4 linked regions of the Ovis aries genome follow. Each later gene encodes a partner of the first gene's protein in a complex. Links are inferred from orthologs where the notes say so. Each region holds a gene or a part of one and is shown in the gene's direction. Other genes may lie near its edges.

Evidence for each region. The genes of interacting proteins can lie anywhere in the genome.
Region 2: the proteins of AGT (region 1) and ANPEP are in contact, whole or in part, in a crystal structure (PDB 4FYS), measured with the Homo sapiens proteins. The link is inferred for Ovis aries from reciprocal best matches to the Homo sapiens genes AGT and ANPEP. Residues at the interface, in NP_001369746.2 of Homo sapiens: Val27, Tyr28, Ile29, His30, Pro31, Phe32; in NP_001141.2 of Homo sapiens: Gln211, Gln213, Ala351, Gly352, Ala353, Met354, Glu355, Arg381, Val385, His388, Glu389, His392, Glu411, Glu418, Asn438, Arg442, Phe472, Tyr477, Ile864, Phe896, Ser897, Asn900, Gln903, Ala904, Arg907.
Region 3: the proteins of AGT (region 1) and DPP3 are in contact, whole or in part, in a crystal structure (PDB 5E2Q), measured with the Homo sapiens proteins. The link is inferred for Ovis aries from reciprocal best matches to the Homo sapiens genes AGT and DPP3. Residues at the interface, in NP_001369746.2 of Homo sapiens: Asp25, Arg26, Val27, Tyr28, Ile29, His30, Pro31, Phe32; in NP_005691.2 of Homo sapiens: Phe109, Glu316, Tyr318, Glu329, Phe381, Gly385, Ile386, Pro387, Ala388, Gly389, Ile390, Asn391, Ile392, Asn394, Arg399, Val412, Leu413, Val415, Ala416, Phe443, Val447, His450, His455, Glu507, Glu508, Asn545, Arg548, Leu552, Glu555, Phe556.
Region 4: the proteins of AGT (region 1) and REN are in contact, whole or in part, in a crystal structure (PDB 6I3F), measured with the Homo sapiens proteins. The link is inferred for Ovis aries from reciprocal best matches to the Homo sapiens genes AGT and REN. Residues at the interface, in NP_001369746.2 of Homo sapiens: Asp25, Tyr28, Ile29, His30, Pro31, Phe32, His33, Leu34, Val35, Ile36, His37, Asn38, Glu39, Lys91, Leu92, Ala95, Met96, Met99, Leu100, Phe103, Arg107, Arg148, Ala151, Ile152, Gly154, Gln353, Gln354, Asn355, Asn358, Glu391; in NP_000528.1 of Homo sapiens: Tyr81, Met82, Thr84, Gln85, Val102, Asp104, Gly106, Ser107, Asn109, Ser118, Arg119, Leu120, Tyr121, Thr122, Val125, Tyr126, Leu147, Arg148, Tyr149, Ser150, Pro181, Ala182, Leu183, Pro184, Met186, Leu187, Ala188, Glu189, Phe190, Val193.

Annotation. Positions count from the first base shown.
Region 1 is NC_056078.1:44,653,044-44,659,068, forward strand, and holds the start of AGT (angiotensinogen), read left to right. Parts: upstream 1-2,020; 5' UTR 2,021-2,056; intron 2,057-2,920; 5' UTR 2,921-6,025. UniProt on the Homo sapiens protein: Essential component of the renin-angiotensin system (RAS), a potent regulator of blood pressure, body fluid and electrolyte homeostasis.
Region 2 is NC_056071.1:20,527,783-20,533,639, reverse strand, and holds the start of ANPEP (aminopeptidase N), read left to right. Parts: upstream 1-1,768; 5' UTR 1,769-1,815; coding exon 1,816-2,435; intron 2,436-2,958; coding exon 2,959-3,101; intron 3,102-3,224; coding exon 3,225-3,364; intron 3,365-4,003; coding exon 4,004-4,130; intron 4,131-4,219; coding exon 4,220-4,374; intron 4,375-4,639; coding exon 4,640-4,753; intron 4,754-4,853; coding exon 4,854-4,997; intron 4,998-5,162; coding exon 5,163-5,228; intron 5,229-5,346; coding exon 5,347-5,412; intron 5,413-5,857. UniProt on the Homo sapiens protein: Broad specificity aminopeptidase which plays a role in the final digestion of peptides generated from hydrolysis of proteins by gastric and pancreatic proteases.
Region 3 is NC_056074.1:40,946,866-40,952,701, forward strand, and holds the start of DPP3 (dipeptidyl peptidase 3), read left to right. Parts: upstream 1-1,747; 5' UTR 1,748-1,785; intron 1,786-3,181; 5' UTR 3,182-3,189; coding exon 3,190-3,459; intron 3,460-5,836. UniProt on the Homo sapiens protein: Cleaves and degrades bioactive peptides, including angiotensin, Leu-enkephalin and Met-enkephalin. Also cleaves Arg-Arg-beta-naphthylamide (in vitro).
Region 4 is NC_056065.1:1,788,790-1,794,713, reverse strand, and holds the start of REN (renin), read left to right. Parts: upstream 1-1,835; 5' UTR 1,836-1,960; coding exon 1,961-2,040; intron 2,041-5,375; coding exon 5,376-5,526; intron 5,527-5,924. UniProt on the Homo sapiens protein: Renin is a highly specific endopeptidase, whose only known function is to generate angiotensin I from angiotensinogen in the plasma, initiating a cascade of reactions that produce an elevation of blood pressure and increased sodium retention by the kidney.

The DNA of each region.
Region 1 (6,025 bases):
TCGAGAGGATACCGTCCAAACTCAGCTTTGCACGCCCTTCGCTAGAGCTCGCGTGCCTCCTGCGTCCCTCTCAGGGTTATTGGTTTCCTCATTCCCTCAGGAGCCTGAACTGGGCGCTGTGGTGCCCGGGCCCCCTCCATCTTTCCTCACGACAGTATCGCTTTCAGAGAACATTTCTTACAGCAGAAGTCAGGCATCACGTGCCGCGCCTCGCCGAGGCGTCTTCAGTCCCTTCCGCAGCAGCGCCTCTCCCCTCCCGCGCGGTGTCTGGCACTAATCAGCGTCCTCCCTTCCCCCACTCACTTTACGCGGCCCAGACCCAGCCTGGCATCCTGTGCAGAAGCTCTATTTCCCTGGGGTCCTCTCTCACCACTGGGGAGGGCGGGGAAGCCCAGAAGCAGGAGCAGCTCCCTCTCAGCCCCGGGCCTGCTGGCGGCCCCTAGACAAGCCCCATGCTTTCCCATCTCTGTTGCTGCCTTATCAGCCTCTACCTCTGGAAAGCCCTTCTTGAGTCTGACGTGACTGAGCGACTGAAATGAAATGAATGAATGAACCTCAGAGAAACGAAGATCATTCAGAAAACGAAGATCATGGCATCCGGTCCCATCACTTCATGGGAAATAGATGGGGAAACAGTGGAAACCGTGTCAGACTTTTATTTTGGGGGCTCCAAAATCACTGCAGATGGTGACTGCAGCCATGAAATTAAAAGACGCTTACTCCTTGGAAGAAAAGTTATGACCAACCTAGATAGCATATTCAAAAGCAGAGACATTACTTTGCCGACTAAGGTCCGTCTAGTCAAGGCTATGGTTTTTCCTGTGGTCATGTATGGATGTGAGAGTTGGACTGTGAATAAGGCTGAGCACCGAAGAATTGATGCTTTTGAACTGTGGTGTTGGAGAAGACTCTTGAGAGTCCCTTGGACTGCAAGGAGGTCCAACCAGTCCATTCTGAAGGAGATCAACCCTGGGATTTCTTTGGAGGGAATGATGCTGAAGCTGAAACTCCAGTACTTTGGCCACCTCATGCGAAGAGTTGACTCATTGGAAAAGACTCTGATGCTGGGAGGGATTGGGGGCAGGAGGAGAAGGGGACGACCGAGGATGAGATGGCTGGATGGCATCACTGACTTGATGGACGTGAGTTTGAGTGAACTCCGGGAGTTGGCGATGGACATGGAGGCCTGGCGTGCTGCGATTCATGGGGTCCCGAAGAGTCGGACACGACTGAGCGACTGAACGGAAATGAACCTCAAAGAACCAACTTATTTATCCTTCAAGATGTGACTCAAATGACAGAGAGAACTTTGAAAGCTTCTCCAGCTCTAACAGACTAAACTGTCTCAGAATCTAAAAGCTCTTGTGAGCACCTTCCCGTCTCCCTGCTGTTGGTGTCTAGTGGTGTCCCCAGATGAATCACTGCTCTCTAGAATGTGCTTTGCTGGGTTGTGTGTGTCTCCATCAGAGGCCTCTCCATGGAGTGGGGACCCAGTGGCTATTTGTACAACCACTGAGCCACTCAAGGCCATGGGGTCAGGTGACCCCCAGGCTACCTGAACAGGGCTTTCTGCTTCCCGCTGGACCCATGAGCCCACATGTTCTTGGGGCCTCTCAGAATCACTCCCCAAGGGGGCTCAGTCTCAAGGCTTGGGTGGCTGACCTCAGGCCATCACACCCAGGGGCAGAGATGCATCACAACCCACATGGGATTCTCCCGTGTCCCATAACAGCAGCCCCAGGCCGAGCAAACTTCAGTAAATGTGTAACTTGACTGTGCACCAGTTCACTGTCAGCAGCAACAGTGCATCGATCCCCCTGGATTCCTGGAAGGAGGCCCATCCTGAGAGTCGCCTGGCCTGGCATTTGTCCCTCTAGTTGGGAGGCTGCTGAGGCCCCCACCCCCACGGCCTGGCCAAGTCATGTAAACACCCTCCCCCTGGCCTGAGCACAGGCTGGTCTGGGAACCGCTCCATCCCCACCCCTCAGACATAAATAGGGCCTCGGTGGCCCAGCCAGAGGAAGAAGCCACCCTGTCTTGAGGACAAGAGCGGAAGGTGAGTGGGGGCCCTCTCCATGCACACCCTCCCCAGCTCTCTTCACACAGCTGCCTTGTTTGCTGGTAGGAGAAATCTGGGCGCTCTGGTGGACAGGTATGGGGGAGAGCTGCTGGAAGCCTGTGGCTAAACTGCACCCAGGAACCAGGGGACAGCGCTGACCCGGGCTGCAGGTGGCATTACCAGACTCGGAGGGTGCCTCTCCCCGAGGCACAGGCTGTCCCTCCCCCGAGCGCCCCGAGGCACAGGCTGGCCCTCCCCTGAGCGCATCATGGGTCTCACCAGAGGAACTGCTCCTTTCAGCAGCAGGCAGGCTGGCGGGGTCCTCCGCTCCCTCTGAGCAGGGCTGGGTCCTAGGGGGCTGGCGCAGAAGGAGTCCCCTGGGTCCTCCTCCAGCCCGAGGACGAGCAAGGCTTGTGCAGGCAGTGGAGCTGGGGAGAAGGGCAGGCTCAGTGAGCCTGGGGCTGTGTCCCCACAGGGCTCAGGGGAGCAGTGGTCTACTTCCCTGCCGCTCTTCGGAGGCAGTGCCGGCTCTAGTCCTGGGCTCAAGGCCCGGGTCTGAGCAGTCAGGCTCGTCACTCTGTATCCTGAGCCTCGGTTTGCTTGTCTATAAAATGGAACCAGCAGCAATACCTGGTCTCCCTTTCTCGGGAACTATGCTATAAATTAAGAGTGCTAATACCTGATAGTGCTTTCTAAACTTGAGAATAAACTAAAAAGACACAGTCTTGTTCGAAAGCAGTATAGATCAGTGCCTAAGTGTATGGAGTATGGAGTCCTGGGCTCTGGGCTCGAACACTAGATCTGTCTCTTACCAGCTGTGTGAACTTGAGCAAGTCTCCAAACCTGTCTCTTCATCTGCAGGACAGCATCCTTTAGCCACCACTTGTATTTTTGGGAATGTGGGACACATCAGTAAGCAAAACAGAGCAAGAACCTCAGTCCTACAGGATTTGCATCCGTGTGGGAGGAGACGGCGATACACGCTGGACATAAGACACACACGAGTGACGCAGTGACCAGAGCTGCAGGGGACCAGCGCCACGGGCGGGGAGGCACTGGCGCCGCTCCAGGGCTCTTGCCTGGAGCATCCCAGGGACGGAGGAGCCTGGTGGGCTGCTGTCTATGGGGTCGCACAGAGTCGGACACGACTGAACGATTTCTTTCACTTTTCACTTTCCTGCATTGGAGAAGGAAATGGCACCCACTCCAGGGCTCTTGCCTGGAGAATCCCAGGGACGGCAGAGCCTGGTGGGCTGCCGTCTGTGGGGTCGCACAGAATCGGACACGACTGAAGTGACTTAGCAGCCGCACCACTGGGAGAGGAGAGGAGGGCAGGGGGAGTGAGTTCAGAGTGCCAGGCGTGGAGGGCCAGTCGAAGGGTGAAATCTGGTGGGGAGGCCCAGACAAGAAGGTAGGCTGCTGTGAGGGTTCAGACTTGGCCCCTGAAGTCACTGAAGCTGTGAGCAGCCTTGCACTTGTGTTTGCTACTATCCTCTTCAGCCTTGAGCACAAGCCCTGAGATGTAGGGAGCCGTGCAGGAGAGGCTGGTCAAGGGGGAGGCCAGGTGTAGGCAGGTGGAAGAGAAAACCCAAGGCACCGCTGTCAGGCTGGGAAGCTGTGCGCTGACTTGGCACCCAGGCCAGTGAGACAGACCACAACCGAGAGCAAACAACAGCCTCTGTTCTACCTGGTAAATCGCCTGAAACGGGGCCTGCGCCTGAAGGAAGCTGGGAGGCGGCTGCAATCACCTGCACGGCCCCAGCCCAGGACCCTTAGGCCTGTTCCTGAAGGATTCTCCACACTCAGGCCCCGCCAGTTTCCCCTGGAGAGGTGTCAATGGGCAACTTAGGCCTGCCTGACAGGAAGGCCTATAAAGAGAGAAGTTTCTGTCCTTTTTTTCCGTGTTGTGTAACTCCTTGTGGGAACAGTGGGTGGAGTCAAACGGCTTGGAAGGAGAGTAGGTGGGAGTTAAGGTCAGAGGTCAGAGTTCCCTTGGCATTTTGACACTTAGAGCAGAGAGGGTGCGCAGCGCATGTCAGCCCTCGCCGAGCGGCTGCCGTCGCCGCACCTGCCCAGGCACGCGTGGGTGTGCAGGAGCCAGCTAGGCTTCGAGGCGACCTGGAGTTGGTGGTGATGGACCATAGCTCCAAGGAGGCCCAGGCCAGCTCTGGGAGGGCAGGGGAGAGTGAGGGGGGAATGGGAAGGCTGGGCGGCTACCTGGTAGTACAGCACTCGCCTTCCCTCAAAATGAAGGCGGTGTCATATAGAAGCAAGCCGCTAGAGCGCAATGAACCCATAAAGGAATATTTATTCTCTCAGTGAGAGCCATCGCGGAAAAAGCCAGCAGAGCCGACCCAGGAGCCTTTTCTCCCAGGAGCTCAGCCCACGCCCATTCTCTTGGCTAGAAGTGAGGCTGAGGCAGAGGTGCTGAGCACTGTCCCACCTCACCTGCCCCAGGTGAGGCAGGGAAAGCTTCTACACTGCGGAGGCACGTCTGCGCCTCCTGGGAGAACTGGGCACAGACCGGTGAAATCTGGCTGCTGATGAATGGGCTCAGGCACAGACGACTCGGAGCCCCTCGGGGATCTACTCTGCAGGGCGGGTGCGCGCTGGGGAGGGGGTTGAGACAGGCAGGGATGTCTGGGCTTCTCCAGGTTGAGTCTATGGTGCTTAATTCCAGCTGCAGGTTAGGGCTACCGGGAGACTAAAAACCCTTTCTCAGACCCTTCCCAGGGTCACTTAATTAGCATCTCTGGAAGTGAGACTCAGATTGCAATAGTTTCTCAGGCTTTCTGGGTGAGTCCTGTGAGCACTCGGGTGGAGCATAACCTGTGAGAGTGAAGTAGGTTGGAATCGGATCTCTGTTACCTCCTTGCTGTAACATGAGCTTGGGGATGTTTCTCCGTATCCCAGAACTCCCCTTTCTGTGTCTGCAAAGAAGTGGAACAATCTTAGCTCACGTGACACGTTAGGTTGGATAATCTATGGGAAAGAGCCAAACAAATACGAGATCTCCATTCTAAATTACACAACTTGGCTGGGGAAATAAGGGAACATTTCCCACACAGCTGGATTATTTTCTTGTCAGGCTAATTTGTAACACAGGAGAAACCTCTGTGTGAGTTGGTCTTGTATTCCAAAATGGTTTACCACCTACCCTAGGGCTTGGAGCCCCACAAAGACCCTTGCTGCCTCACATTTTGTTCTTTGGGGAAAATTTATAGCCTTGAACAGGTGGGCATATTGGTGTTATAGGCTGCCACTGCAGAGCCACAGACTGGAGTCTTACACAGAAGAAATCTGTATTCTCTTGATTCTGGAGGCTGGGAGTTGACAGGGTTGGTTTCTTCCGAGGCGTCTTTCCTGGGCTTGCAGGTGGTCTCCAGGCCGTCTGCCCCTAATGCTTTCATGCGGTTCTCCCTGTGTCCTGATCTCTTATAGGGACACTGGTCAGACCGGATTAATGCCCACCCTAAAGGCCTCATTAAACCTAAATTACCTCTTTAAAGACTGTCTCCAAATACAGTCGCAGTTTGAGGCACTAGGGGTCAGGACTTTGTTAACAGAAATAATCAATAAATAATCTATAATAAGAATAGACAACTGTTCTATTTGAGCCAAACTGAGGCCTATCGCAGAGAGACACAGATTCAGGAAGCGCTTGAGTTGTATTCTACCAGACGAAACACAGAGGAGGCTTATGGAGGCAGGAACTGCAAAATTACGCACGTTGCTTGTCAAGAATTAGGACTGGAACTGGCAAGTAAGGGTATTTGTTAAGCAAGGATTGTTTGGGATTCAAAATGGTTGCATAGTTACAAGGGGAGGCCTTGAGACCAGAAGGTTGCAGCTGGCAGCTACGGCTATGGTCTGTTATCGCTCAGAAAACTCAAGTTCTCAGTGATACATGAACGTGTCTGAGACAACATCCACAATGACCACCAGCTCCATTTTGGATAAACCAGA
Region 2 (5,857 bases), on another chromosome or scaffold:
CACAGCAGAGGAGAGTGTGGTGACAATGAGGTCAGGCAGTCAGCCAGCTGACAGCACTTGACTTGTGGGTATCATTAGAAGATTTGGTCTGAATTCTGAGAGCAAAAGGACACTTTTAAGCAGTGGTGCAAAATGATTCAATTTATGTAGCAAACTGGTTTGGTGGTGTTGTTCAGTCAATAAGTCGTGTCTGACTCTTTGCAACCCCATGGACTGCAGCACATGAGGCTTCCCTGTACTTCGCCATCTCCTGGAGCCTGCTCAAACTCATGTCCATTGAGTCAGTGATGCCATCCAACCATCTCCAGCTCTGTCATTCCCTTCTCCTCCTGTCTTCAGTCTTTCCTGGCATCAGGGTCTTTTTTCAATGAGTTGGCTCTTTGCATCAGGTGGCCAAAGTAGTGGAGCTTCAGCTTCAGCATCAGTCCTTCCAATGAATATTCAGGGTTTGAGGAGCCCAGATGTTAGCAAGGAGTCCCTGAGGGTCTAAAGTGCCCACATAAACAGTAAGAATGGCTTTGACTCAGGACACGATGAGACTGGGGGGCAGGGTGAGTTGAATGTTGGGGTGGGGATCAGGCAGTGTTGAAGTCTGAGAAACTGGGCTGGTGGATGGGGGGCGGTGACAATGAACGTCATATTCCTGTAAGAACATATTATATTGAGTATGATAAGTAATATCTTCGTTTTTCCCAGGGGTAGAATGGCTGACTTCTGGGGAAAAAGGACAAAGGACTTTCAGGTTCTACTATAATTTGTGTGCTCGGTCACTCAGTTATGTCCACCTCTTTGCGACTCCTCAGACTGTAGCCCACCAGGCTCCTCTGTCCATGGGATTTCCCAGGCAGGAATACTGGAGTGGGTTGCCATTTCCTCCTCCAAGGGGTCTTCCTGACCCAGGGTTTGAACTCATGTCTCTTGCATCTCCTGCATTGGCAGGAGGATTCTTTACCACTAAGCCACCTGGGGAGCCCTCTACTATAGTAGATGATGTTTAATATGTTTTCTCACTAAATCTGTTCAACAAACCTGAGAAATAAATTCTAACATGTGTGTATGAAGAAAGGGGTCTCGGAAAGGTAAAATAACCTGCCCAAGGTCATGGCTGGGAAGAGGTTAAGCCTCCACCAGCCTCCTCTCTTTAAAACAAAAAAAGGCAAAACAACTTCATTTCATTCTACTCAGTATGCTGATAATTGAGGGGAAAGTTTTTGGCAAGAAGGGAAAGGGAGGGGACCTGGAAGAACTCCTTGCTCTGGAAGAATGCAAGGGAGGCTGGGGCCATGGCTCTGGGGCACCCCAGGTCCTGTCCAACCACAGAGGTGACCGACTTACTCTTGACCCGAGCCGGAAGCCGACTCTCCCTTTCCCTCTACCTCCCACCTCCTGCCCGGGGAAGTCCTAACCTCCCAGATCTAACCTCCATCCTCCTGTTTCTGTGCCCGCTGTCTCAGCTCGCAGGCGCATCCAAGCCACCTGGCTGCTACCTCTCCCTGCTGGCTGCCTGCCTGCCCTTCAGCCCTTGGTGGGGCTCCCAGGCGGCCTGTAACTGGATACCAGACACCGATTCGTCCCTTCAGGCACCCCCCCGAGCTGCCCTCCATGCACCCTGTTTCTGGATCTGCTCTTGGAAACCTGGATAGTGCGTGTTTCCACTCAGCCCAGTGACCTTCGCCTGTCTGAGCCCTGGTTAATTTTTGCCCAAGTCTTTGCAGGCTCTGGGGCTCCTCCCCTTCGGGGATATAAGCCTGGCCTGAGGCTGCCCTGTTCCCTGCCTGTTCCTGAGCCTCCCCGAGCTCCCTCCCCGTCCTCACCATGGCCAAAGGATTCTACATTTCCAAGGCCCTGGGCATCCTGGCCATTCTCCTGGGTGTGGCGGCCGTGGCCACCATTATCGCTCTGTCTGTGGTGTATGCCCAGGAGAAGAACAAGAATGCCGAGTGTGGCACGAGCCCCACGAGCCCCACGAGCCCCACGGGCCCCACAAGCCCGACAACCACCTCGGCCACCACCGTGGACCAGAGCAAGCCGTGGAACCGATACCGCCTCCCCACAACCCTCTTGCCCGACTCCTATAGGGTGACGCTGAGGCCCTACCTCACTCCCGACGAGAACGGCCTGTATATCTTCACGGGCTCAAGCACCGTCCGCTTCGCCTGCAAGGAGTCCACAGACGTCATCATTATCCACAGCAAGAAGCTCAACTACACCACCACCAACGGGCACTTGGTGGTCCTGAGGGGTGTGGGGGGTGCCCAGGCCCCCGAAATCGACAGGACCGAGCTGGTGCTGCTCACAGAGTATCTGGTGGTGCACCTCAAGAGCCCGCTGGAGGCGGGCAAGATGTACGAGATGGAGACCACCTTTCAGGGGGAGCTGGCCGACGACCTGGCGGGCTTCTACCGCAGCGAGTACATGGACGGCGACGTCAAAAAGTGAGTCAGAGGTGGGCCTGCCGGGTGGGGGCGGATCCTAGACACCGGGGCAGAGCGGGATCCTGGGGGCCAAGGAAGGGCTTGGATTCGGAGCCTTTGAATGTTCCAAAGCCCTTCGCTGGCCCATCGGTCCATCCAAAGTTCCCAAGACAATCAGCCGTTTTCCCCCCACCCCACTCAATCGGGAGTCAGGGATGAACAATGAAAGCCACCTTGGACAGATAAGAGAACAGGCTCTGAGGAGAGAAATGTGCCAGCGTCTCCCGGCTAATACAGGGGGCAGCCAGGACTTTGACCCTGAGTCCAGAAGGAGCTCTGATCACCCATGTCAGCTGGCCTGTCAGCCTCGAGGTGGCCTGGGAGAGGAAAGGGGGGGTGGGGGGTAAGGGGACAGGGATGAGACCAGGCAGCATCTGTGAGCCTGCCCCCCTGCACACCCAGCCACAGCCTGCAGCCCCTACCCTGCACACCCACGGGCACAGACACTCTGTGGGCGCATCCTCTAACCCCCTGCTCTGGGCAGGGTGCTGGCCACCACGCAGATGCAGTCGACAGATGCCCGGAAGTCCTTCCCCTGCTTTGACGAGCCCGCCATGAAGGCCACATTTAACATCACCCTCATCCACCCCAAGGAACTCACAGCCCTGTCCAACATGCCACCCAAAGGTGAGCAGGTCTGGCTGGGGCCTCATGGCCTGGGCCTGGGAAAGCCGACCCTCCCCCCAAGGGCTGGGGTGCAGGGGCAGGGGGTGGGGCACACCTTCACAGGCCTGCATGCTCCCTGCCCAGGTCCCAGTGTCCCACTTGAGGGAGAGCCCAACTGGAACGTCACTGAGTTTGAAACCACGCCTGTAATGTCCACGTACCTCCTGGCCTACATCGTGAGCGAGTTCACAAGTGTGGAGTCACAGGCGCCCAATGGTGTCCAGGTATGAGGCCCAAGCTCACCTCACCTTCCCCAGGGTTGGTCTTGGCCTGGGAGACGTTCCTGTTTATCCTCATCCTGGTCCCAGCCCCTAGGCAGTGTGTGAACCCCAGCTCTGAGGCATCTTGGGCAGGTGTCTTTAGTTCTCTGAGCCTCAGTCTCTGCATCTGGAAAGTGGGACCCTCCTCATTAGCAGGGGCTTCCGCAGTAGCTCAGTGGTAAAGAATTCGCCTGCAGTGCAGGAGCCGTGGGAGGTACAGGTTCAATCCCTAGGTAGGCAAGATCCCCTGGAGAAGGAAATGGCAACCCACTCCAATATTCTTGCCTGGAGAATCCCCATGGACAGAGGAGCCTGGCAGGCTACAGTCCGTGGGGTTGCGGAGAGTCAGACACAACAGAAGCGAATTAGTATGCACCCCTAATAAAGGGAGTTCCCGATTCCTGGGTGCCGGAGAGTCGCCATGGCTCATTCCCCGTAGGCCCCTCCCTACGGCTCTAAGAGAGACACCCCCCACTCCACACACTCCCTGCTGACCAACTTCCGGGTTTAACCTGGTTGGTCACCAGCCTGCCAGACTCTGGGACTTGGTCCACTTGCACCGGACCCAGGAAGAGCCCCTGACCTCTCCTATCCTCTTTGCAGATCCGGATCTGGGCTCGGCCAAAAGCAACTACAGACAGGCATGGCCTTTACGCCCTGAATGTGACAGGTCCCATCCTGAACTTCTTTGCCAATCATTACAATACAGCCTACCCACTCCCCAAATCTGGTGAGTGAGGGGCCTTGCGTTGGGGGAAAGTGAATGGGTCTCCCCCTTCATTCCCGGAAGCCATCCTGCCAACCACCTGGCCTCCCCAGACCAGATTGCCCTGCCCGACTTCAACGCCGGGGCCATGGAGAACTGGGGGCTGGTGACCTACCGGGAGAACGCGCTGCTCTATGACCCTCAGTCTTCCTCCAGCAGCAACAAAGAGCGAGTAGTCACTGTGATTGCTCATGAGCTGGCCCACCAGGTATCCCCCCATCATGGGGAGCCCAGACGAAGAACATGGGGGGCTCCAGGGGGAGATGGCCCAAGTCATGGCTATGTCCTCAGAAGCTGAGAAGGGAGTGGGGATTCCACCTGGCCAGGGGGCTCGGGGAGGAGTCAGGATGAAGTCAGTAAAGCCTCCAGCTCAAGACTGGCGGGTGGGGAGCATTTGGCGAAGGGTAGCCCTGAATGTCGTTAGTGACCGCGAGGTCTGAGTGATTTGCTGGGCTGACCCCTCTCCCCTACAGTGGTTTGGAAACCTGGTGACCCTGGCCTGGTGGAATGACCTGTGGCTGAATGAGGGCTTTGCCTCCTACGTGGAGTACCTGGGAGCTGACTATGCGGAGCCCACCTGGAATCTGGTGAGCCCCCTGCCTGGGGACCTCTGGGGTCTGGGATGGGCGATGACCTGGGTCACCCCTTCCGAGGCCAGTCCCCTGATTGGCTGTTGGGGGTTTGCAGAAAGACCTCATTGTGCCGAATGATGTGTACCGTGTAATGGCTGTGGACGCACTGGTCACCTCTCACCCACTGACCACCCCTGCTGACGAGGTCAACACCCCTGCCCAGATCAGCGAGATGTTCGATACCATCTCCTACAGCAAGGTGCTGCCCAGCCCCCATGCTGGTCCTCAGACAGTCGAGGGGTGGGTGGGGAGGGTGGCAGGGGTTCAGCCCCCCAGGGTTCCGGGAGCACCCGCCCAGCCTGATGGGGACACAGGGTCCCCCGGCTGGCTCGACACAGCCTCTTGAGCTCCCTCCTCTCCACAGGGAGCCTCGGTCATCCGGATGCTCTCGAATTTCCTGACTGAGGACCTGTTCAAGAAGGGCCTGGCGGTGAGGATCCTCAGCCAGTCACTGGGTGGGGGGGCGGGGGGGTTTCCCTGGCCTCACAGAGGCTGTGGCCGAGCCTGGGGCCACAGCTCTGCCCTCACAGAGCTCTGTCTTTCCACAGTCCTACTTGCAGGCCTTTGCCTATCAGAACACCACCTACCTGAACCTCTGGGAGCACCTGCAGATGGTCAGTACCAATCAGCCCTCCTGAAGACGTTCTGTGGGGGTCCTGAGATGCTGAAAGCCCCAGGGCCGGCAGCACCCCCGTGGGAGAGAAGGTGCCCAGCTCCCCTGCTTACCCCACGCCCCAGGCAGGACGTCTGGAGCCTGGCCTGCTCATTGGCTGCTCCTCTGTAAAGTGGGTGCAGCGATGGCTCCTTGAAGGAGGTGTGGCCAGAGCCTGGGTCATGAGCCTGGCAGGTGGCTCCTCCCCTGCACTATAGTGAAGTTTATGAGGGGAGCTGGGGAGCACCCTCCTCTGAGCGTTGAGGAAACGGGCTCTCACGTTTCCCAAGACCAAGCCATCATCTCCCTGGAACTTTGGAGCCAGTCATTCACCAGCTCAGCACTCCTGGCTGCCCTGTGCCCTACCCAGCCCCTCCCAGGCACCACTTTGCACACACCAGCACCCT
Region 3 (5,836 bases), on another chromosome or scaffold:
ATTCTGTGTGTGTGTGTGTGTGTGTGTGTGTGTGTGTGTGCATGTGAGCACACGCATATGTTGGAGCAGGTGGAGGGGACAATGTGGTGGAGGGCTGGACCCTGGTTCAGGGACACCAGAGGACTTCCTGGGTGGCCTTAGGGAAGTCAGTGAATCCATCAGCCTCCGTTTCCCCATATGTACTCTAGATTAAATTATATCCTAACTCAGGTTTTTTGTAGGAATTAAATGAGATCCTCCATGTCAAGCTGTTAGCATAGAACTTCAGGAAGTGCTCTTATTAGCTGTCCTGATGAAAATGCAGCTTGGCTGGGGGTTTCCCAGGAGTACTGGGATCTTTCCTTGGACTGAGCTGCCCACTGGTGGCGATGGACGGCACTTCCTCCTCTATCCGTGTACATGTCAACCTCTCCCGAGTGTCAGGGAAGACTTTACACCTGTTTTAAAGACAATAAAAATTGGGGCACAGGGAAGAAGAAGGGGGATTTTCTAGGGACATAGACTAATTTATTGAGTTCCTCTCTCTCATGATAATCACCATCAGTGCCAACAGCACTGTTGTGCCAAACAGGGCCTTGGGCATCTTCTGTGAATGAGAAACTGGTGTGGGTAGTGGACAACCGCTGCTCTGGGCCTAGACACAGGTGTGGCAAAAACTGACAAGGAGGGTGTGTGGATTTCAGGGTAGACCCTCTCCTCCACACTTCTCTGCACAGCACTAGGGGGCGTCAACACTGTCAACACTTCCCTCAAGTTAACAACTTCCCTCCAGTAAAGACCGGGATTTTTAGCCGGGTTTTCTGACTGAGGAAGTCAAGACTCACAGAGGTAAAGAGACTCATCGAAGGACACACAGCTACCAGGCAGTGGAGGCCCGCCTCAACCTTAGATGGCCTGGCTCTGCTCCATTTCTGATTTGGGACCCTGAAAATGTTCCCCACTTGGCCCAGGACAAGTGCTAGGCGCTTCCACGTGCCATTCCCCGACCCATCCCATCCTCTGGTGAGTTTCTCCAGACATGCAGGCTCGGCTCTGCCCTGGGCAGCCTTTTGGGGTTGCGGTCGGCTTTCTCATCCATCCGGCACCTGGCAAGAACCCCGAAACTGCCAGGCCCCTCGCCCCTTGTTCAGAAGAAACTGAGACGCGAAGATAAAAATTTAACTGCTGCCCTAGCCAGGCCCATGGCGAATCCGAGAGGGTACAGGCAGCCCTTGCGTTTCTCCACACCCCCCGCCTGCCCCGCCCCGACCCGCACGGTGGGACCATCTCAGCCCCGGCTGGAGCCCGCTCGACTGTGGCCTCCACTCCCTAAACGGAGGGCTTTGCAGGCTCGTCACTATCCATGGTCCTGGGTTCCTATACCCAAAACTGAAGTCGGGGGACTCAGAAAAACTCCAAAGGAGAGCGGGGGTCAGGACTGTGTTGGGGTTGTCGCCGGTGCTCCGTTCGTAACAGCCACGCTGCCCCGCCTGGTTTGGGGTACCTTCTGTGCGCCGTCTGTTCGGACTAGGCCTGGGCCAGGCTGAACATGGAGGTTTCTGACCCCCACGCGTGTACCGCCTGCGGACAAAAGGCCAAGGCCGCAGGGGCCATTCCGCTCGCCACCCTGTAGCGCCTGGGGGCGGGGAGCCGGTTTGCCGGCTCAGAGCTCCTATTGGCTTGAGGCGATGCCCGTCTGGGCCCCGAAGCTCGGCAATTGGCTGGTGGAGGCGGAGTTGGCGGAGCCCCAATGAATGGGGGAGCCGGAAGCAGGAAGTGAGTGTGCGATCGGAGCAGCTGCTGCAGGTGAGGCGCGGCGACCGGGTTTTGGGGTCACCATGTGTCATCCTCGGGTGACAGGGAGCGTCTGGGCCGAGCTCAAGATCACTCCTTTTCTGCCCCCTCTTCCAAATTCATCGCGGCCCCGAAGCCAAGGATCGCTCCGGACAGCAAAGGGTTAACGTCCCTTTCGGAACCCAGGGGCTTGTGCCATTTGGGAGCAGCTTTGGGAGTGGCGGGGGTGGTAGGAAACTCTTTCAGAGTAAGAGAGGGCGTTGTGAATACTCCGGGTTGGGAGACACCCAGGTCCTAACCAGGCAGCAAGACTGTCGATAAGCTGCTTGGCGTCTTTAAGCCTCAGTCTCCCTATCTGTAAAATGAGTTTTCTCTCGGCTCTGAGCTTCTGCAGCTAGGGAGGGTCCCCTGGCTGAGCACAGGGAGAGGCCAGGGGGATAAGAGTGGGACAGATCCTGCCAGCAGTGAGAACTGAAGAGTACAGGGAAAATCTTGTACTGCTGTGGGTACCTTCTGTCAATCATGCTGACCTTGTGACCTCATCTAATTTGCATAGCCACCCAGTGAGGTTGGGGTTATTATCAGAGGCTGTCTTCTAGAGGTAGAAAAGTAAAACTGACTTGATATTTGGAGTCTGGGGCTGAGCCAGTCTTGGAACCTGGGTCTTCCAGCTGGGACTCTGTCCTTGTGAACACAGTGGTGGGCAGAATCGAAGAACATGCAGGATAATTCTTAAGGGGAGGCTAGGAGATCAGAGAGGGAAGAGGGGTGACCACGGAGAGGGGCCTGGGAGCCCAGAGATGCAGAAGCTTGCTTTTGACCCCTCCCTTCTGTTATTAGGCAAAGCACCCCACCTCCCTGGCCCTGGTTTCTCCATCTGTAATACTGCTGCTGCTGCTAAGTCGCTTCAGTCGTGTCCGACTCTGTGCGACCCCAGAGACAGCAGCCCACTGGGCTCCCCCATTGCTGGGATTCTCCAGGCAAGAACACTGGAGTGGGTTGCCATGTCCTTCTCTAATGCATGAAAGTGAAAAGTGAAAGTGAAGTCACTCAGTCGTGTCCGACTCATAGTGACCCTATGGACTGCAGCCCACCAGGCTCCGCTGTCCATGGGATTTTCCAGGCAAGAGTACTGGAGTGGGGTGCCATTGCCCTTTCCAATCTGTAATACTAGGTAGTTGGATTCAGTTTTTAAGTTTGGGAGGCCACAGGCCGAATATTGCCTGCCAGAATATTGTGTAATCTTCTGGGGTGAGTCACCTAACCATCTCTGAGTCTCACTTGGCATATCTGGTGCATGGATGCAATGGTATTCCCTTCCTCATTCAGACCGTGAGTGTGTAGACTCAGATGTACATGCCATTGGTGTGGGATAAATGATGCTTGTGATCACGGTGATGGTTCTCAGCAGGGCCCATGGCGGACACCCAGTACATTCTCCCCAATGACATCGGCGTGTCAAGCCTGGACTGCCGCGAGGCCTTCCGCCTGCTCTCGTCCACAGAGCGTCTCTATGCCCACTACCTGTCACGGGCTGCTTGGTACGGAGGCTTGGCAGTGCTGCTGCAGACCTCCCCTGAGGCCCCCTACATCTATGCCCTGCTCAGCCGCCTCTTCCGTGCCCAGGATCCCGACCAGCTGCGCCAGCATGCCCTGGCAGAAGGCCTTACTGAAGAGGAATATCAGGTTAGTTCTCTCAGGCCAACCTGCATTCTGGGTGTGAGGGGCCAGGAAGCAGGGGTCCAATGGACTCTCTGTCTCTCTCTGGATTAGATCAAAGGTTTTAAACACAGGGACATCCCCTCCTGGAGTCTCAGTCTTCTCATCTACAAAATATGCCTGAGGGTCATCTGTACCTCTTAGGGTGGTGGCCCCCTGATGAGATAACTGATGGCTGTTATGATGATCACAAGAGCTGTGGAGTAGAGGAAACAGCTGTGGAGGTTCGGAGACGGTAGAGGAATGAGTTCAGTGTAGGAATTTGGAGGTCTGAGTTCTGGGCCAGATCTTCCTCCACCATGTTGCATGTCCCTGGGCAGAATGTTCTGCCTGTCCTTTTGTTTTTATCTGGTCTGTGGGTCTATTGGCCAAGGAATACATGAATGCATTCTTAATGCTTTACAGCATTGCAGAAAGGCACAAAATAAAACACAAAGATCATTTTTTCTCAATGCCTAGCCAAAGGTAACCACCAAAGATGGTGGGGTGTATAGCCTTTTCAGTCCTCTGTCTATACTGGATACCTGTACAAGTAGAGATGCACATGTGTTACTTGCTTCTTTTCTCTTTCACGTATGAGATCACATGCTATAGATTCTTATGAGTTCTGCTTTTTTTCACTGAACACTATATCTTGGAGAACTTCCATGGGGTACATAGAAATCCACCTCGTTCTCTTTTATTGACTGTGAAGCATTCCATAGCTTTGTACGCTGTTATCAGTTTAATCCTTTGTATATTGATGGACATTTAGGTTGTTTGTGATTCTTACAAACAAGACAAATAAGCATCCTTAAGCATGTGTGTGACTAGGATCTATTTTTAGAAGCAGAATTGCTGGGTCAAAGGCTCTGTACATTGACAGTTGACTAGTGTTGTTAAATCATTTTCTGAAAAAGCTTCTCCAAGAATGTATGAGGATATAGTTTTTCTATATGTAAAATAAAGGGATTAGATTGCTTATCTTTGTGCTGAGGCCCAGGCTATTTCTTCTACTTTTTGTTTGAACTTTGAGTAATCACATCCCATCTCTAGGCCTTGATTTCCTCATTAAAAGAGAGAATAGCCGGGAGAGTTAATGGAAAAGTGCTACCAAAGTATTCACTATTTGCAGTGGGATTGTTTTGTTTGGAAGTAGCAGAAACCCACCTCAAATTGGCTTAAATGAGAGGGAAAAAAAAATCATGACTCCCAGTTTCTGGTCTGGCATGTTGGGAGCTTAGATGTTGTCCATCTCTTCTAACAAGTAAAAAGCTGAATAAATTGAAAAACCAACAACTCTTCTTAGATCCTTAAGAGAAGTGAGGTTCCAGAGCAAACTGCAGCTCTCAAAATTGGAGAAACAGACAGGCAGGTACAGAGAGTCACAACTTACCAGAGCAAAAACTCATGAACAGAAACCTCCATGGAACCAGTGCTGAGGTAGGAAAATTGGAACTGTAACTGATGAATTGCTAAAGGCTCAGTGTGGACAATTCTGACAGTTGAAAACTCCAGGGGGAACTGGACATAAGGGGGCCCCCACAGTTTGGGGGGTTTTACCTTCAGGAGCTTCACCTGGTTCTCACAGTGAATTTCAGAGAAAAAAAATCCCTCTTGCTTCTGGCAGGGGGAGGTGAGAAGGAGCCATTTAAAAAATATGCTAGAGCATTCTGTTCTTAACATGATCTTCCCTCAGGAGAAACTATTTAACCAGAAGCAAACCTGTTAGGGTTTTATTGGAGCCTAACTGATCTGGAAGAAGGGAAACACACAACTCTAGACAGCTCTGACCATCCGGTCCCATCTAAAAGGAGTGGGAATATGGGGCTGAGAAGAGCATGTCAAGTTCAAAGTCCAGCAGCAAAGGCTCACTAAAATCATGGGACTCTAGAACATTCCCCCTGCCACCATTCCTTACCATCCCACTACTAAAGGCCTGTTTATGACGGTTCCTTTTACCCAGCACATCATGTCTGGCTATCAAGAAAAAAACTACAAAACATTCTTAAAGGCAGAAAACACAGCTTGAAGAGACAGAGCAAGTATCAGAACCAGACTCAGATACGGCAGGGATGTAGGACTCATCAGACCAGGAGTTAAAACAACTCTGACTAATATTCTAAGGGCTCTAATGGATAAAGTAGACAGCATGTAAGAATAGATGGGCAGTTTGGGATTAACATATATACAGTACTATATATAAAGTAAGTAAATAACAAGGACATACTATACAGCACAGGAAACGATACTCAGCATCTTATAATAACCATAATGGAAAAGAGTCTGAGAAAGAGTCTGAAAAAATGCTAGAGGTCAAAAAATACTATCAGAAAGGAAGGGTACTTTTGATGGGCTTATTAGT
Region 4 (5,924 bases), on another chromosome or scaffold:
GAAGAGACCGGAGTCCGGACCTAGGACACAGCCGAGGGCCCCGCTGTGCCGGGCGTCCACACTGCAGCGAGGCCGCGGCTCTGAAGAGCTCTCTGGCCTGGCAGACTCAGCCCCAGCCCGGCACCCTCTCCTTTGCATCCTGTGGGCTCGGGTAGGCACGTAGCCCCAGAGAGGAGCCGGGAGTCGCGGGCACACCGCTCGGCTTGCCCTTCCTTGAGTCCTCTGAAGGCTCAGCCTCCTGTCTGACCAGGGGGGCTGAGGGTCGCCCCTCAGAGGGCTGTGCATCTGGACACGCGCCTGACACGTAAGAAACGCTCAGTGACACTTGCTAAGGAAAGGCAGAGCACTGGAGCCTACAAATAAACATTGATTCAGTTTAATAACTATTTATTCAGTCTGATAAGACAGAAGTTCCCACAAAAAGGTTCTCCCGGCCCCTCAAATGCTTCCCCCAGTGCCAACCACAATGCTTGAAAATTCTCCAGTGAGAGTTTGTTCCAAGAAGCACCAGCTTCTCCCATCCCTCGACAAGGGTGTTGTAATTTCAGAGATCCCGACGCATTAAGTAGTCTGCACACCAGCAACAGAGTTTCGCTCCGCTGGTTAAGTTCTTTCCGCCCACAGGTGCAGAGAGGAGCACGCTGAAGACACGGGACTTGGCTACTGGAGCATCCACACAGGCGGGCACCCTGGGGTCGCCCGGCGTCTGCTTCCTCACACCGCCTGGGGACTACGGCCCAGAGAGGGGCGTCCGCATGCAGCAAGTTGGGGGTACAGTCAGAACCTGAAGCCAGGCCCCTGGCCCTGCCCATCAGGGTTCACTGGGCACTCATTTGATGAGCGGGGAGCACCACTCTGGGTGAGAGGCAGAGGCATGCACATCAAAATGATTCCGAGAGAGGACATTTGAGGCCTGTGCTTTCACAGAAGGCATGTGTCTGCACCTTGGGAGCCCCAGCAGAGACAGTCAATTCCAGGCTGAATCCACGCCTGCTTCCTGGAGGAGACAGAGATCCTGGAAGTGGGCCGCAAGGAGTGAGCAGGGAGGAGCCAGGAGAGGAGGTCCTAGGCTGCGTAAACAACATCCACCCTGGGATTCAGGGGCCAGGTGGATGTGTGGTGAGCAGCTCCAGACTGCTGGTAAGCCATAAGGGAAAGGGAAGGAGGCAGAGACATGCCCCAGAGAGTACTCAGGGAGAAGAAGAGAGAGGGAGAGGGGTGGAAAGACCAGCTGCTCCACCTCGCACTTTGGCAGAAAGCAGCCTCCCCCAGTCCCGGGGCTTCCCTTCCCTTCTACCAACACAGGTCATCTAAGACGGAACCACGTCCCCTGCCCCCAGCTCCTTACTTCCAGAGGAGGTCTGTACTGCACTTTCCCATAAACAACTACTGGTGACAGAGACCTGGGGGGAGGCCGTGTCGGCACTCCCTGGATTCTGGCTCTGTCAGGGAACGAGCTGGAGGGGTCACCCATGTTCCAGATGGTAACACTGAGACGCAGCCTGGGAGACGCCAGTCAGGGGCACAGCCGAGGTTAACACAGAGGCAAGGGGTCGGTGAGACGGGCTTGGGGGCTGGAAACTGGGGTCCTGTGCTTGTCCCAGCCCTTTCCTGGTTCCCTAGCGGTGCTGTTTCTCATCGGCTTCGGTCTTCCCTGAGGGGTCACAGGGCCAGGCCGAGACAGGGCTATTGGCGTCACTGGGTGCAGGCTTGCTTTCCCACAGCCATCCTTCTTCTAGCCCCCCAGCTCCACGTCAGAAACCTGGTCACCCTTCACCCACTTAGCTCAGTCCCGTTGAGGGATTTATTACCGGCTGCCCCGCCATCTGTCCCGCAGTAATAAATCAGGGCAGAGCAGAATCGCAGCCATCCCGAGTGTGCATGTATAAAAGGAGAGGGTGCTTCAGGGGACCCCAGAGCGAGCTGGGCACCCAGGCGAACTGTGGGCCAGTGCAGCAAGATGCCTCTCTGGGGACTCCTGCTGGCGCTCTGGGGCTGCAGCACCTTCAGTCTCCCTGCAGACACCGCCGCCTTCAGACGGTAACTGGGAGAAAGGGTGGGGGGAGGAGGGATCCTCGCTTTCCTGACACGGGTTGGGGGGTGGTTCAAACAAGGGATGTCATCCCGTCCTCGCAAGCAGCCGGGCAGGGAGAGTTTCGCCCCATTCAGAGAGGTCAGGTGACTTGCCCGATGTCACACAGCCAGCAGAAGCACTAGCTGGGCCTTTTGATCCTGGCCCAGAGTTTTCAGTTCCTGCACAGATCACCATGCTAGGTGCTTTGGGGGGACTCAGAGATGACTGAGACATGTTCTCTGCCCCTCGGGAGCTCACAGACTAATTACTAAGAAGGGTGTGGTATTGTTAACTCTGCCAGGGAAGCAGGGTAATGTAGTGGTTAAACGCAAAGCTTCCAGAGCTGAATAGTCCTGGTTTAAATTCTGTTCCACTAGCAGTGCCAACTAACTCTGGAACCGTGGGCAAGCCCCTGAACCTGGCCAGGTCCAAGTTTGCCACTTTTACCTTTCAATATTCATTTATTTGGCTACACTGCCTGCTTGGATCTTCATGGCAGCAGGCAGGATCTTTTAGTTGTGGTGTGAGAACACTTAGTTGTAGCACGTGGCATCTAGTTCCCTGACTGGGGATTGAACACAGGCCCCCAGCATTGGGAGCATGGAGTCTTGGCCACTGGACCATCAGGGAAGTTCCAGTTTACCATTTTTAAAACAGGGATAATAAAATACCTATTTTACAGAGCTGCTCTGAGGAGTGAATAAGATATTGCCTGTAAATGCCTCAGCCTGGTGCAGGCATGCTGTAAAAACCCAGCTGTTACCATCTCCAGGGGGATTATCACGAATATTAAAAGAAAAGTTTAAGGTAGCCCAAAGGAGGAGGATAAAGACCCAACATCCATATTTGGCGACAGGCCCTGAGGGAACCCTGATGGCTCAGCTGGTAAAGAATCTGCCTGCAATGCGGGAGACCTGGGTTCGATCCCTGGGTTGGGAAGATCCCCTGGAGAAGGGAAAGGCCTGGAGAATTTCATGGACTGTATAGTCCATGGGGTTGCAGAGAGTTGGACATGACTGAGTGGCTTTCAGTTTCACTTTCTTCCCTGAGGGAACAAGGCTTCTTCAAGGCTGCAGGAGCGGGGAGGCAGGTGGGAGAGGGCCTTCCAGAGAAAGGGTTTCACGCTGGGGAAGCAGATGGGACCAGAAGACCTGAAGTTAAGGGGCAGGCTTTCGTAACAGTGGTAGTTGCTAGGCCTGTAAAATGCTGAGGACTTCATAGGATTGCTTCCTGTGTCTCAGCTCAAATCATCCTCCCAACAGTCCCATTTTATAGCTGGGGACACTGAGGTTCAGGGAGGTCCGATGTAGGAGGCTCAGCCTGGGCACACGCTGCACCACGTTTCCGAAGCCTCTTTCCTCTGCTCCAGGGAGAGTAGCTGCTGGGCTGGGGGCGTGGTGAGGGGGAGAGGCACTTCCCAGTGGCAGTATGTGTCTGAGCGTGGCCCCCACCCCCAGGATAAAGGGAGGGAAAGGAAAAAAACATTCTCCCTTGTCTCTTCAGAACGAGAAGAATGAAATTAGACCAGGGTGAAGAGGGAGTCAGGCTTTCCAAATGTACTTAGAGGAGTTTTGCTAACTGACATGAGCCTCAACATCCCCATGCAAGGCTTTGCGGCGCTCTGAAGGGCCGATTCCAGTCTCAAGGTGCAGTCATTGCCTTTTACACACAGACACCTTTTACAACATGTACTGAGCACCGGGCAACTCAATCTGCAAAGTGCGTACTCTCGGTGGTAGGTACTACCATTAAGTCCATTGTTACAGAGACCCAGAGGAGGTCAGGTAAGTTGCTCAGAGTCAGGCAGGTAGGAGGGGATTCGAGCACATCACCACGACCACTACACCCTCATCACAGAAGGCACGAGGCTGTGCAGCGCTGGTTACGGACACCCGGGGAAAACGGGGCAGGTGCCCAGGCAAAGGGGAGGCCAGCGTGGGGGCATGGGGGCTTCCAGGAGGCGGGGTGCACCCTGGCCTTAGAGGGCTGGAAAATGCTGGAAAGTGCTGGCGTGGGGGGGAGGGGGAGGGAAAGGGGAGAAGGAAGGGATTCTCTAAAAGGAGAGGGTAAAAGGAGCCCTCTCTGGGGTCTAGCCTTCTCTGTCCCTCCATTTTCCCATCTGTAAAATGAAAATAGTAAAGATACTCACCTCAGGTGATGGCTACGAATCAAATAGATCATAGTCGTGAAAATACTTTGTGGAACAATAGACCATGTTATGAATATGGCAAGTCATTTCTGTTAAAATATTAACACCAACAAGCATGAAAGTTGCATTCACGTTTGTGGGCAAAATGCATGGGGCCTGAGAAGGAAAGGCTAGTGCAAGTACAGAAGAAGGAATAGGGACCCTCCAGACTTTGGGCTGCAAGCCCGGGACCCCCAACAACGGCTCAGGCTGTGGCACACAGCCTTCACGTCGGAGTCCGGGGACCCCTCTGTGGGAGATGGGCCAGTCAGGGCACCTCGAATCCCTGCTGCACCTACTCCTGAGTCGCCTCATCCCTCACCCCGGAGTGAGGACAGCCAGCCTGCAGGATGGGAACGAGGTCACGTGGTGAGGGTGGCCTGCACCGCGCTGGGCGCCCGCACGGTGGCAGCTCAGGGCGACGTGAGTTTCCCAGTTCTCTTTAACTCCGCCTCCCGAAGGTGACAGGAGAGCACTGGGACAAGAAGCGGAGGGCCTGGGACCTGGGCTCAGGAAGACGCTTCTTCCCGAGGGCAGGCTGCACAGGCCCTGTGGAGACGCCTGCATTCCCCGACCCCGCCCAGTCCAGGCCCAGGGCCCTGGCCGGGTGCTGCCTGCTGCTTCCTGGAGCCCCCGCCCCGGCCGTGCGGGCATGTGCTGCCACCTGCAGGCCCCGCGTGGCACTGCCTCACCCATCCAGCCGTGAGCCGGCATGCCCAACCTTCACCTCCTTAGGGGGACGTCAGTGCTGTTTCCTCCTCCGTCTTCCCATCCGCTGGAGCCCCTCGAAGGCGGTGATGGTCTTTTTATCTCTAGCATCCAGCAAGGTGCAGGCACAGAGTAGGTGTCCAACCTGTGCTTGTGGAGTGAATGAATGAACAAATGACCTTAAAATGGTGAGCAAAATCAAGCAACAGGAGCGAGTTAGCTGAGGATCATTTAATACCAGCACAGGTAACCACGGAGTCTCCTTCAGAGACTTAACAGCTCAAGAGTGATCCCTAGGTGCCTGGGCTAAGGTTGGGGTAGTTTTATTAGAAGCTTCTAGAACTCTACCATTACTGTGGGAGGGGACAGAGCTCTTCTACTTTTTATTACTCCATCATGGGCCAGGATCTTCCTCAAGAAGATGCCCTCAGTCCGGGAAAGCCTGAAGGAGCGAGGCGTGGACATGGCCCAGCTGGGTGCTGAGTGGAGCCAGCTCACCAAGACTCTCTCCTTTGGCAACCGCACCTCCCCTGTGGTCCTCACCAACTACCTGGACGTGAGTGCCCAGCTTGGTCCCTTGCCCACTTCACTCTCTCCTTCTTCTCTTGGGCCTAAGGCATTTTTGCCCTTTCTGAGCACCTCACGAAATTCCCATTTCACAGCTGGAAAGACTGAGGCACAGAGGACCGGAAGGAGCCCAGAGGTGGGGTCAGGTTTGGAACTCAGGAATCCAGGCCCTGGGCCCCCAAGTACAGGTGTTGCAGGGGCAGGGGTTCAGCGAAGCATCAGGATTTCTGTGGGGCATGGGGCACCTCCCTGCTTCACTGGCAGTACATTTAATTTGCCCTCTGGTCTTACTGAGCCTCCCACTTCGTGTCATGAGACACTGCTAAGCCTCTGACTCCGTCCCTGCTGAAAATGGAAACCCAGACCACCCAGGCTACGTGGTCTGCC